Coturnix japonica: one gene and its partner. The protein of the gene in region 1 binds, or shares a complex with, the protein of each later gene. Links are inferred from orthologs where the notes say so. Each region holds a gene or a part of one and is shown in the gene's direction. Other genes may lie near its edges.

Region 1 (8,032 bases):
TCACAAAGGGAGTTGCTATTTCCCCCCCTCTCCCCACAGCCCCATTGGATTTGAACATTCAGATGAACGTGTTTTTGTCTACATCCTTATTTTCACCCGTTATTCCTTCCCAGGTACCTGACTGAGATGCCGAGTGCTTCTAAAAGAGGGGCAGAGCATCTCAGTGTTCTTATGCACAGACAGTTTTAAAGGTTAATGAATGGAACTGATCAAAAGTTTTCACGCAGCCTCCGATACCAGGCTGACTATCCTGAGCTATTAATCATTTATTTGATGAGTGAACAAAGCGAGCTCGGGGCTTATTTACAGAGCTGTGTGCTGCCCTGGTGGACATGCTGTGCTTCACTTCTCTTTGGAAAGCAGCTCTTAACATTGCTGCTCTTCTTCAGGGTTGCTGAAAAACCATCTCTGGGACAGCTCTATTATTTAACAAAGGTGAAAGCTCAGTGGGTGATGTTTGGTTTTTCTGCTGCTGGTTTTGCAACCCAGCAGATAAGGAGAGAGAAAACCAGGCGTGTTGCCATCCAGCTCAATGTCTGTCCGCTGTGTTGATATTTGGGGGTGCTAATCTTGCATTCTCAACCTGTGTGTTCACACCAGATTGCTGGGGGAGCTCGCTTAGAACTTTCATGTCTCTCCTTTCCTTGTGAGGTTGGCGATGAGGAGGGGGAAAACAAATTAAATGCTTTGTAATGCAGGGTTTGTTGCCTTTGCTTTCGGTCTCGCTGTATCTATTTTGGGTCCATAATTGCTGTGTAACCCAGGAGCTGCATCTCAGCTGGTCAAACTGAGGCTGGATGACTGGCAGCGCGTGCAAACTGGATGCACTCAGTGTGAACAGGAATGAACACGGCTGGCTCTTGCATTGCAGTCAATGTGGGCTGATGTGGTTACAGGGCAAACTGCTTGTTGGTGTCTTGCAGCCTATCATTAGCACGTGCAGGTGCTCTCAGTGAGCGTGCGACTGTTCAAGAGGACACGAGCCCCACGTGCATCTCTCCCATTAGCTAAGGAACAGAAGTACACATGCAAATGATCTGAGTGCTGCTTCAGAGCTGAGTTACACAGAGGAGATACGTGGTAGAGGTAAGAGCTGTGGTAATGGAGATAAAGCCCTGAGCAAGAAGATCCCCATGGCATGGGGAGCTGTGGGAGCCCCTTGGGGATGGGAGCACTGAGCAGCCCCAGCATAGAGCTGGCTGCCCAGGGCTGGGAGAAGCCAGACTGACACCTGTGGGCTGATTGCAGCCTTATCTTCCAATGTTTGTTTTTCCTTTCATATCGTACCAAGCCATAATTCCAGGTGAAGCTCTGAGCTGGTGCCTCACCCACCCTCTGGCTTTGCGGTGCCAATGGCTGCGCTGTGCACCTGCTGGGAAGTGAGCTCAGGCTGGGTGAAGTCACAGAGTCCAAGTCACAGTGAGTCCAAGCCCAGTGCTGTACGAAGCTTAAAGCACAGAAGATGTTCTTCCCCAGCCATGCTCCTGGATGGCTCTGGCTCTCTGCAGAAGACATCCTGCCCTATTCTCCCCTTGTAAGCCAGCACACTGGGCTGAAGGCAGCCTGAGAGCCTGGTGGGATGGAGCAGCGTTCAGCAGCTCATTTGGGAGGCAGGCAGTGACTTCTCTGGCTCACAGGGGCTTCACAAGGCTGTCTTGGTTCGGGGGGCGAGCAGCTTCCATGGCCCTGCTGCCCTCACCCTGGGACCGCAGGTTGATACTGAGTTTCAACATTGGATACCACTGTAAAAGAGAAGGAAGTAAAGGAGCTGAACTTGCTCTGTTCAGCATCCAAGGCCATAGCTGGTATCCTGGGGGCAAAATTGCTACTGTAGCGTTCTGTATAGTAATACAACGAAAGGAAGGATTCCTAACTCTTGGGAAGCAGGATCCACTTGTGCCATCTCCCATGTGGAAAAACACCCAAAACGCCGTTCCAACCTGAAAGAAGGCAGGACAACGATGTGGGGTCGGGTCCCTCTGTAGGAATCCAAAGCAGCAGTCTGGGATGCTGAATGTGTCCCAGCAGGAACCCAGGGGCAGTGCTGTGATCAAACCCTCCCTGAGGTCAGAGCAGGGATGGTTTGAGTCCAGATTTGCATCCTCCCAGCTCCCCTGTGTGCTCCCACCACCAGCAGATGACCGTGCGTGGCCTTAGAGACCCACAGGCTGTCCATAATCATGCCCACAAAGGGATAACGTTGGCCAAGCCTGCAGCTTGCAGAGCCCTCTGACCCCCCCCAGCCCAGCAGGAGATGCAGTGCAGCACTGGCAGCTATCAGGGCTCAGCACCCATTGGCAGCTTATCACCACCCGCAGCTGTGCCAGGTGGGATTCATCCGCGGGTGGGGAAAAGCCCCCTTTCCCCCCTCAGCATTTGTCGCAGTGACTGTTTTGCCTTTCATTTGTCTTTGCATCTGCCCTTTTCAAGTGCCACAAGAGCTGAAAGCCTCGGCGAATTGGCACGGGGGAGGTTGGGGGGGGGAGCCCGCTCCCCCTGCATAAACTGCCGTATGAATGAGGGAGGGGGGAATAAAACAAACCCGTGCTGCCCCCAGCTGCCCCGGCCTTTGTGAGCGCGGTGGGAGCAGCTGGTGCCGCAGCTGCCGCTCACAGCCCGCGGCCCCGGAACGGCCCCGCAGCCGGGGCGGGTGGGACCGTGTGTCCGGGCGGGGCGGCACCAACGGGCCGCATCTGGCGTGTAACTGCTGCTCGTACCACTCGCTAACGGGGATATCGCCGTGACCGGGGTGCGGGTTATCGCAAGGGCCGAGCGTTAATTAACAGCGCTCACCGCCGCCAAGCGGAGCGGTGCTGCCGTTCGGTGCTGTGCTGCAGGGCTGGGCCGTGGGCTCCGCAGCCACAGGAAGAACGAGCAGCAAAACACCGCTCAGCGTTCACTACATCCCCGCTGTGAGGCACCGCCCGCACCCAGCGCTAACCCGGCCGTCCCGCTGAGCCCCGCTGCGGCCGCAGCTCCAACTCCGGCCCCGCAGTACCGAGATGGGGGGGTGTTTATGTCCCTGTGGGTTGGGCTCCGTTGGAGGCACATTGAGGTTATCAGCGCCCCGCACACGGGATACAGACGGCGGGAGCCGCCCACGCCACGTCCCGCGGCTTTGACTATGGGCTGCCCTGCCCTGCACCGCCCGCACCGCCACGGACACGCAGCTCAGCCCCGCAGCCCGCACAGCGTCACGGGCAGCTCTAGCCCAGCAGTGCAGGGAGCGCCCGGCGCTCAGACCCGTCTGTGAGTGACCCCACGCGGGACCAGCTCCGCGCCGCCCTCGGCCCCTTTAAGGCCCGGCCGCGCTCCTCACCCACGCGGCGCCACGGCCGCGTCCCCGAGACGCCTCCCGATTGGCTCCTGCCTCAGCTCGGCGGTTCTGATTGGCCGCCTGTCAGCGCGTCCGCCGCCGCCGCCCTTAACCAATGGGCGGCCGGCACCGCCCCTCCCTCCGGCGACCTCGACCAATCAGACGGTTTCCCCGCACCCCCGCCTCAGCGCTCGGCGTTGGGCGCAGCCAATGGGCGGGCGCGGGGAGGTTGGCGCCGCTTTCGCGGCAAAAAGGATTTGGCGCGCAAAGGCGCGCGGGGCCGGAGCGCGGGACAGCCCGGCACAGCCCGGCACGGCCCGGCACGGCCCGGTACAACCCGGAACGGCCCGGAACGACCTGGGGAACGGCCCCGCGGATCGGCCCCGCGCCCGGCAATGGGCCGCGCCCCCGCCCCGGCCGCGGCCCCGCGCCCCGCGCCGCCCGTCACCTGAGCCATGGCTACGGCGGGCGGCGCGGCGGGGCTGGCGGCGCTGCTGGGCGGCTCCTCCCCGCACCTCCTCATCGTCTCGGCCTCCGAGGAGCCCGCGGGCGGCTGCCGCCCCGACGCCGACCTCCTGCTCTTCGCCACGCCGCAGCCCTCCCAGCCCGGCCCCGCGCCGCGCCGCCCCACGCTGGGCCGCCCGCCGGTAACCGCGGGACGGGGGAGGGAGCGGGGCTGAGCGGGGCTGAGCGGGCCGCCGGGCGGGGCCGGGACGTCGCGGTGCCCACGCGGGACCCCCCCCCCCCCCCCCGTCAGAGCCCGGCCGCGCGGGGCACCGCCGCTCCGGAAGCCGCCGCCGAGGCCGCCTTCCGCCCGGCAGCGCCGTTGCGCGGGGCTGCCCCCACAGGCCGGGGCCCGGCCCTGCCGCCGCGGTGCGTTCCGCGTCCCCGCGCTGAGGACGCCCTGTCCCGCAGGTGAAGCGGAAGCTGAACTTGGAGACGGATCACCAGTACATCGCCGACAGCCTGCCCGCCGCCCGCGGCAGGGCCCGCATCCCCGGCAGAGGTACGGCCCCGCTGTGCTGCCGGCCTGAGCCCTTCGGGATGGGCCTCGTCACCTCCCTCTTCCCCTCTGCCACCTGCCGTCCCCGTAGAGCGCTGGGCCCTGCCCGGCTGCTCGCTGTCAGGGCTCAGTCTCGGGGCCCTGCAGCACCATCCCCCGAGCTTCCCATTGCCAGCAGCTGCCGGGTGCTGCTCACCTGCCGGGTGTGGCGGTGCTGGGGCTGCCCCGCGCCCCACGGCTGAATCTTGCACCTGTCCCCAACAGGGGCAAAGTCTCCTGGGGAGAAATCCCGCTATGAAACCTCACTGAACCTCACCACCAAGCGCTTCCTGGAGCTGCTCAGCCAATCCCCCGATGGTGTGGTGGATCTCAACTGGGCGGCCGAGGTGCTGAAGGTGCAGAAGAGGCGCATCTACGACATCACCAATGTCCTGGAGGGCATCCAGCTCATCCGCAAGAAGTCCAAGAACCACATCCAGTGGATGTATGTCCATCAGGGTGGGGGGATAACACCGAAGCTGCCAGGGTTGGGTGGAGGGAGGGAGGTTGGGTTCCACCCTGAGATCGGGAGGTGATGGCAGCAGTGGGGTGTTAGTGCTGGGGGTGACAGCCCTGTGTACCCCAGGGGCAGCCAGGTGGCCGCGGGGGCTTCAAGCCGACAGCAGCTGCTGGAGAAGGAGCTGCGGGATCTGCAGGCGGCAGAACGGCAGCTGGACGAGCTCATCCAGACGTGCACGGTGCAGCTGCGGCTGCTCACCGAGGATCCCTCCAACCAGCAATATCCTTCGGTGCGGGGCCGGGATGGGGCTGGATGGGCTGGAGAGCTGTTGGGGAATGGAGCCCCCCCCTGCTCTGACACTTATGGTCACTGTGTGGGGTTTTGGGTGTGAATGTGGCCCCGTGTCTGCTCCTTGACCCGCCGCACCGCAGCCTACGTCACCTGCCAGGACCTTCGGAGCATTGTGGACCCCTCTGAGCAAATGGTGATGGTTATCAAGGCACCCCCAGAGACCCAGCTGCAAGTCTCAGACCCGGCAGAGGTGAGTGAGGGGTCTCTCCTCCCCATGGATCTTCACAGCCCTCGGTACAACTCCACCTTGGCACTCCATGTCCCTCCTGTCCCCAGGCTTTCCAGGTCTCAGTGAAAAGCACTCAGGGCCCCATCGACGTGTTCCTCTGCCCCGAGGACAGCTCAGGGGTCTGCAGCCCCGTCAAGAGCCCCTTCAAGGCACCTGCTGAGGAGCTGTCCCCTGGCTCATCGCAGCAGAGAGCCTCCCCGCTCCTGCATCCTGCTCAGGATGTCAACATGCTGCTGCCTGGTGAGCAAGGTGGGGATGGGGATGGGAATGGGATGGGAATGGGATGGGAAGGGATGGGATGGGATGGGATGGGATGGGATGGGATGGGATGGGATGGGATGGGATGGGATGGGAATGGAATGGAATGGGGGCACTGCCTGGGCTCTGTGGTGTGGGGACAGTGTTATCACTGTTGTTCCAGTTCCAGGAGCACGAGGTTACAGGGCTGAGGTCTTGGCTGTGTGTTAGGAGGAGCCTGACCTCCATGCTCATGCAGTGCCAAGTAGTTGGACTCAATGATCCTTATGAGCGAGTCCTTTTTAAATTGGGGTATTCTGTGATCCACCCAGCTGTGGGCTCTGCTCCTACCCAAGCTTGGCAGAGACAGCCCTGGATCTTTCTGCTTAGGAAAGGACACTGTCCCTCTTTGTCCCACCACTCAGCAAGTGGTCTGAGTCACGCTGCCCAGTTGGCCTGGATGTTTCTGATCACTCCTGATGCTTTGTGTGCCATCTGCATGGCCTCAGTAGCTTAGAACACAGCAGTTCTGGTGTGTGCTGTGGGGCTGACAGCCTCGCTCTGTCCCCACAGAAGCACTGCTACCAGGCACAGCACTGCCCTCCAAGTGCTCCACAGAGGATGTGAGCCTGTCACCGCTGGCCTCCATGGACACCCTTCTGGAGCAGGCCAAGGACGATTTCTCGGGCTTCCTGGCGGATGAGTTCATTGCCCTGTCACCACCACAGGCACAGGATTACCACTTCGGCCTGGAGGAGGGTGAGGGCATCAGTGAACTCTTTGACTGTGACTTTGGGGACTTCACGCACTTGGACTTCTGAGGCTCTTGTCCTGATTTCAGAAGCTATCCCACTGCCAAGGGGGGGGACGCAGGCAGGGCTGAGGACAGCCACGTGGTGCCCTGTGCCTTGGTGTGGCTCTGGTGCCTTCCTGGGGTCCCTGTGCTGCAGCAGCCCTGGGCCCCCTCCATCCGTCCCCTCTGCAATATTTTCTTCCCTCCTATCCGGCATCTCTGTGCCATGATGGGACAGAGCCCAGCTTGGTGCTTGAGCCCACATTGGGGCCTACTCCTGTCCCAAGAGGAGGATGCTGGGGAGCAAGGGGTCCCCATTGGGTGCCCCCCCACCCACTGCGGGCAGCCATAGGGTGCCCGTGGCAGAGCTTTAAGCAGTCCTGTGTATAGATTGGATTAATTTATTATTGTTCCTTGGGGACAGCGTTTAGTTTCCCAGGAGGGGTCAAGGGGGGGTGGGGGATGTGGTGGTCTGGGGGTGCCGCGAGGTTTCCTTGTGCTGGGAGGGGCCAGCTCTGCGGGGTATTTATTTATTATTTATGCCATGAGGGGCTCTCCCGGGACAGCAGGAGTGGGTGCTGGGGGGGAGATGGTACAGGAGGAGGGTCCCGGCAGGGTATTGCTGGCCCCAGAGCTGCAGGCATCAGATGGCTGCGGGAAGAATGTTGGGGTGGGCTGGGGGTGTCCCCAGGATGTTATGAGGATGGGGAATATGTGGACCCCCATGGCCCAGTGAGGACCAAATGTTGTCTCCAGGCTTTCTCTTTCATTTCCTGCGCAGCCCTTCAGGCTGAGTGCGTTTTGGGTTTGTTTCCTCCTCCCTGGCTCCAAGGGAGGATGGAGGGACCCTGGGGCCAGGCTGGAGCCGCACTTTCACTTACTGCCTTTAACAAGCTTGTGTTCCGCTGAGCTTCGTGTTTAATAAAGGTTTCTACTGACTGTGGCCTTCACTTTGTAACTGGGATGTGAGCAGCCTCAGCACCAGGCAGGTATCCCAGTGTGGGTGCTGGGAGATGAGGGAGTGCCCTTGTGAGACAGTGGCACATGGTAGGAACAGTGGGGACAGTCCTGGAGTGGGGCTGAGGGCAGCTGTGCCCCATCCTGGTGGTGATAAGGGATGAGCCACTTCCTTCCCCTCTTTGTCCGTCACTCCTCTTTCTTTCTGCCTGGCTTCCTGCGTGTTACTTATTTAAACTCTGATAAATATTTTACTCTGGCCTGCGTTGCATAATAACCCCTCTGTTCCTGCTCAGGCTTCAGAGCTGCTTGGAGTTCAGTTTGGGGCTGTGCCCCTTGTGGCCCTGCTGAGGTAGGCACAGTGTCCTCGTGGCTCCTGGGGCTGAGCCATGAGCTGAGTGTGGTTTGAGGGCTGCTTTACCTCTGAGGCTGTGCTGGTCCCTCCTCTGCCCTGTGGAGGTGGTTCTGGAGAAGCTGGTGGCCATGGAGCATCCTCCTCTCCTGCTTACAGAGCAAACAGCCACTGGGGGGGCTGGCTGAGCTCTGAAAGGCCGCAGGTTGCACATACAGGAATCCCTTGTGAAAGTTCAGAGATGTTTGCTGATAAATCAACCCCAGCCTGGATGGACATAGGACATGTAGAGCGA
Region 2 (4,191 bases), on another chromosome or scaffold:
ATGTGGATGTTCCATCATCAGTCTCCAGAAAGGACAAACCAGGCTGGATTTCATTGCCACTGAAAATCTTCACTATTAACATCACTTTCACAGAAAAGACAGAATATTATTTGGACTAATTTATCGCACTGCATGTCCTTCATCCTTCACAGACCTGCTACCAGCCCTGCAGGTGACATCTACAGGTGTCATTAGCTTCATTCCACATTGAGCCGGGCCCGTTGCTGTTCCAATAGACGAGCAATGCACTTTCAGTATCAAGCACTGGAAGAGCAGCGTTGTGATACAGCTCATCCCCGCCATGGTCTGCAACCTCTGCTGCCAAGAACAGGATCTACCTGGGGAGCTGTGGGTCAAGGAGCTTCTCCTGATGGGATTTAACTCTCCACAGGGAGCTCATTATTCACGTTCTGTTTTCTAGTTCAACTTATTTTTAGTTGACAGAAACAGCTGCGACGGGGAGAACAAGGAACAGAAGCTGACAGTGTGATCAGCACTTCAGCTCACAGCACTGCCCAGTTCAAAAAGATCAATATTCCTTCATTTTTCTGTCATTTTCCATGTCCTGCCGGGCATGTCCGCACTGCAGCACTGCAACCCTCCGGCCCAGACACTGAGCTGCACACTGAGCTGCACACAGAGTTGCACACTGAGATGCACATTGTGTTGCACATTGTGTTGCACATTGTGTTGCACACTGAGTTACACACTGAGCTGCACTGAGCTGCACATTGGGTTGCACATTGTGTTGCACACTGAGTTGCACATTGTGTTGCACACTGAGTTGCACATTGGGCTGCACACTGAGCACACACTGAGCTGCACACTGGGTTGCACATTGAGCACACACTGAGCTGCACATTGGGTTGCACATTGTGTTGCACACTGAGCTGCACATTGGGCTGCACACTGAGTTGCACATTGGGTTGCACAGTGAGTTGCACACTGGGTTGCACACTGGGTTACACACTGAGTTGCACATTGTGTTGCACACTGAGCTGCACACTGGGTTGCACATTGAGCACACACTGAGTGCACACTGTGTTGCACACGGAGCTGTCAGCGCTGCAGCCCCGTTCTCACACGGATGTATCCGGTCCCTCCCGCTCCCACCCGCCATGTCCGCCCGGTCCCGCCGCGCGGTGGCAGCCCGCAGGCCGCTCTCTCCTCACGCATGCGCAGTACCCGCCGCGCTCCAGACCCGCCAACCGCCCCAGTTCGAATTCGCATCCTCGCCGTCCAATGGCGGCGCGCGGGGCGGGGTGGGTCCCACCTCCCGTCATCCTCCCGACCAATCAGGAGCCGCGCTGTGTTTGAAAAGAGCTGCGCGCGCCCTGTGGGCGTGGCTCTGCGGGTCCGTCCCGCGCTGTGGGCGGAGCCAGCGCCGGGTCCCGCCGTGTGTGTGGGCGGGGGCGGCCGCGCCTCGCGCTGGTTCCCGGCCCCGCGCTGAGCCGGGGGGGCGCGGCCTCGTGCGGGAATCGCCGCCCCGTGCGGTATCGCCGCCCCTCACGGCCGCTGAGTTGGGTCGGAGCCGCTTCGGGTGCCGGGTCGGTGCGTTCGGTCCGCGAGGATGAAGGCGGGCGGTGAGTGCGGGCCGCGCGCCTTCCTGCCTCCCTGCCTGCGTTCCTTCGGTCCGCGCGGCTCCTGTGAGCGCTGTGCGGGAGGAGCGGGGTGATGCGGGATGGGGGGGGGCGGCGGGGACATGGAGGGACATGGAGGGACATGGAGGGACATGGAGGGGCGGGGGGAGCCGCAGCGGGGCGGCGGTTCGCCCCGAGACGCGGCAGTGCCGCTCCGTGCCGCTCTATCGGTGCCGCTCTATCGGTGCCGCTCTATCGGTGCCGCTCCGTGCCGCTCTATCGGTGCCGCTCTATCGGTGCCGCTCCGTGCGGGGCCGTGAGCGGTGCCGGGCGCTGTGTGAGCGGTAGGAAGCGCCCCGGGCCGTCCCCGTGCTGCCGATCGCTCTCAGCGCTGTTTGCCGCCCGCGAACCGCCCGGCCCGTCCCTGAGCGCCCCGCTGTGCTGTGGGAGCGGTGACTGACGGTGACTGACGGTGGCTGGGCGCCCATCGCGGCCCGTTGCCTCTCGCCCCGCTGTGTCCGTGCGCTTCGTGCCGGTTCCGCTCATCGTTTGGGTTCCTGCTGTTTGTTGGTTATATTGACTCGGTGTTTGTGGCTCCCGGTGCCGGCGGACCCGGCTGCTCGCGGCGGGTATCGCCCTGTGCCGGCACAACGGATGGGAGCCTCGGGCCGTTCTGTCCCTGCCCGCGTTACTCTGTTCTTCCCGGCCCCCCCTCGTCCCTCGGCTCATTCCCGTCTCTCGGATGTGCTGGGGCTGAGCTCTCAACCCGAACGTTGCTGCAGGGCCGTGCTGTGCGCTGTGAGATGATGGAACTGGCTGTGAGGGGTCTGCCAGCAGCACCGCCCACAGCGATGGGCTTTGGACTCGGGTGGCTCAATGGGCCTTTACCTTCCTAATCCCTCCGGTCACGTTTCAAGGACTGTTATCAATTGATAAGAAGTTGTAGCCTGGGGGAGGTACATGGAAATGCAGCAGTGACAGCTGAGCTCAGTGCAGCCAAACGATGGGGTCAGGGCGATGTGCTCAGTGATGGGGGTGCGCCGTCCCTTCTGGGCACCTGCCTTGAATTGGCTGAACTGAACGAGTCATTTCTTTATGGTTTGGTCCTCCAGTGTCCTGTGCTGCAAGCTGAGTTTCTATGGTTGATGTGCTTGAAGATGCACTCTACTTAATTAAACACACATTCTGTATGCGCCTTTTTCCTCTTGCTGTTCTGTCACTAACCGTGGTGTTGTTTTTGTTCTGCAGTGGTTCACTGCCGCTGTTCCAGGTGCTTCTCTTTCCCTTCCAAGCGAAAGATAAGAAAACGGCCCCGAGTCCTGACGCTGCTGAGTCTGCCTGAGGATGTTCTCCTTCATGTTCTGAAAGACCTTCCCACTGAGGACATCCTCTTGCTCAGAGCAGTGAGTGCCGGCCCCTCCTGCCACGCACTGCCTTAGTTCTGCCCCTGGAGCCAGAAGTGCACAGAGGAATGCCTACATCCAAGGAGCTGTGAGGAGAGCTAGAAAATACATGCAGTGTACAGATATTTGCTGTCCTAGGAAGAGAGTTATGATGAGCTGTGATTAATTAGTTGCCTATCTAAAATTAGATCACCAACTATTTTTTTGCTGATCCCTTTATTTTAATAATAACTTGATGCTTCCCTTCATACCTTGTAGGTGCATTCCCATCTGAAATACCTCGTGGATCATCACGCCGGTGTTTGGGCATGTGCAAGCTTTGAAGACGTATGGCCGTCTCCAAAAAATCTGACGGTGTTTGAAAGGTGAGCTTTAAGCATCAGCATCCCTTTGAGGTTGTAGAGGAGAGTGTTTCGTGCCACATGTACAATTCTAATCAGTCTTCACTGTAAGTGGTGAATCTGACTGTGCTTATTTGTGCAAGTCTCTGTATGGAGTGATGAGGGTAGCTGGCTTTGTGTCTAAGCTGTGAATAATAGCTGCTGCTGTGTTAATTGGAGCAGGGCCTACGGCATACGTGGAAGTTATTCCTCTAAGGGCATTACTGTTACTTGTTTGAATGTAACACATGAACTGAAATCCTGTTACTGGTGCTTCCATATAAACAAGCAAGTGAGATGAAAGACCACAGTTCTAAGTCTTGGTTGTTTTGCTCAAACCGATGTACTGAAAAATAAGTGAAATTGAATATATTAAAGCATGTGCAGAAGGAAAGTGCCTTTTTATCCACCTGATTTGAAGGAGATGGGTTCACATGAATGTCATACTAGTTGTTTTGTTCCTTTCATGTCTGCTCTGATGCATGTATTTTCTTTTTGAAGAAAGGCATTGTCTGAAAATAGATCTGTCAGGCACGTCCCTGAGTGTGCAAGTACCTAAACCTACTTTCTTGCACTGGAGATGTTGCATGGGACTGAGAAACGATTCCTGGAGCTGTCAGATGGTCCTGGGCACAGATGTGGCTTTTCTTGCTGCAATATTTTCATTCATCGTAACTCACTTGTAACTTCTGTAGTGAAGTCAGTTGTGCTTGTGGTTGATGGACAACAAACTCACAGCCAGGCCTTCACTCAAGTAGCTTGTCTGATGTGGAAGCTCCTATTGATTTAATCCTGAAGTATTTTCTCTGTTCCCATTCAGGGCTGCTG

Evidence for each region. The genes of interacting proteins can lie anywhere in the genome.
Region 2: the proteins of E2F1 (region 1) and CCNF are in contact, whole or in part, in a cryo-EM structure (PDB 9CB3), measured with the Homo sapiens proteins. The link is inferred for Coturnix japonica from reciprocal best matches to the Homo sapiens genes E2F1 and CCNF. Residues at the interface, in NP_005216.1 of Homo sapiens: Gly84, Arg85, Pro87, Val88, Lys89, Arg90, Arg91, Leu92, Asp93, Leu94, Glu95, Thr96; in NP_001752.2 of Homo sapiens: Met309, Ile312, Leu313, Asp315, Trp316, Glu319, Val320, Met323, Arg349, Leu352, Gln353, Trp379, Leu380, Thr381, Asp382, Thr384, Asp504, Tyr505, Val508, Leu510, Thr511.

The regions. Positions count from the first base shown.
Region 1 is NC_029535.1:1,930,926-1,938,957, forward strand, and holds E2F1 (transcription factor E2F1), read left to right. Parts: upstream 1-3,756; 5' UTR 3,757-3,771; coding exon 3,772-3,963; intron 3,964-4,231; coding exon 4,232-4,322; intron 4,323-4,583; coding exon 4,584-4,803; intron 4,804-4,944; coding exon 4,945-5,097; intron 5,098-5,244; coding exon 5,245-5,359; intron 5,360-5,445; coding exon 5,446-5,638; intron 5,639-6,208; coding exon 6,209-6,456; 3' UTR 6,457-7,367; downstream 7,368-8,032. UniProt on the Homo sapiens protein: Transcription activator that binds DNA cooperatively with DP proteins through the E2 recognition site, 5'-TTTC[CG]CGC-3' found in the promoter region of a number of genes whose products are involved in cell cycle regulation or in DNA replication.
Region 2 is NC_029529.1:12,341,347-12,345,537, forward strand, and holds the start of CCNF (cyclin-F), read left to right. Parts: upstream 1-1,391; 5' UTR 1,392-1,570; coding exon 1,571-1,583; intron 1,584-2,828; coding exon 2,829-2,983; intron 2,984-3,241; coding exon 3,242-3,348; intron 3,349-4,183; coding exon 4,184-4,191. UniProt on the Homo sapiens protein: Substrate recognition component of a SCF (SKP1-CUL1-F-box protein) E3 ubiquitin-protein ligase complex which mediates the ubiquitination and subsequent proteasomal degradation of target proteins.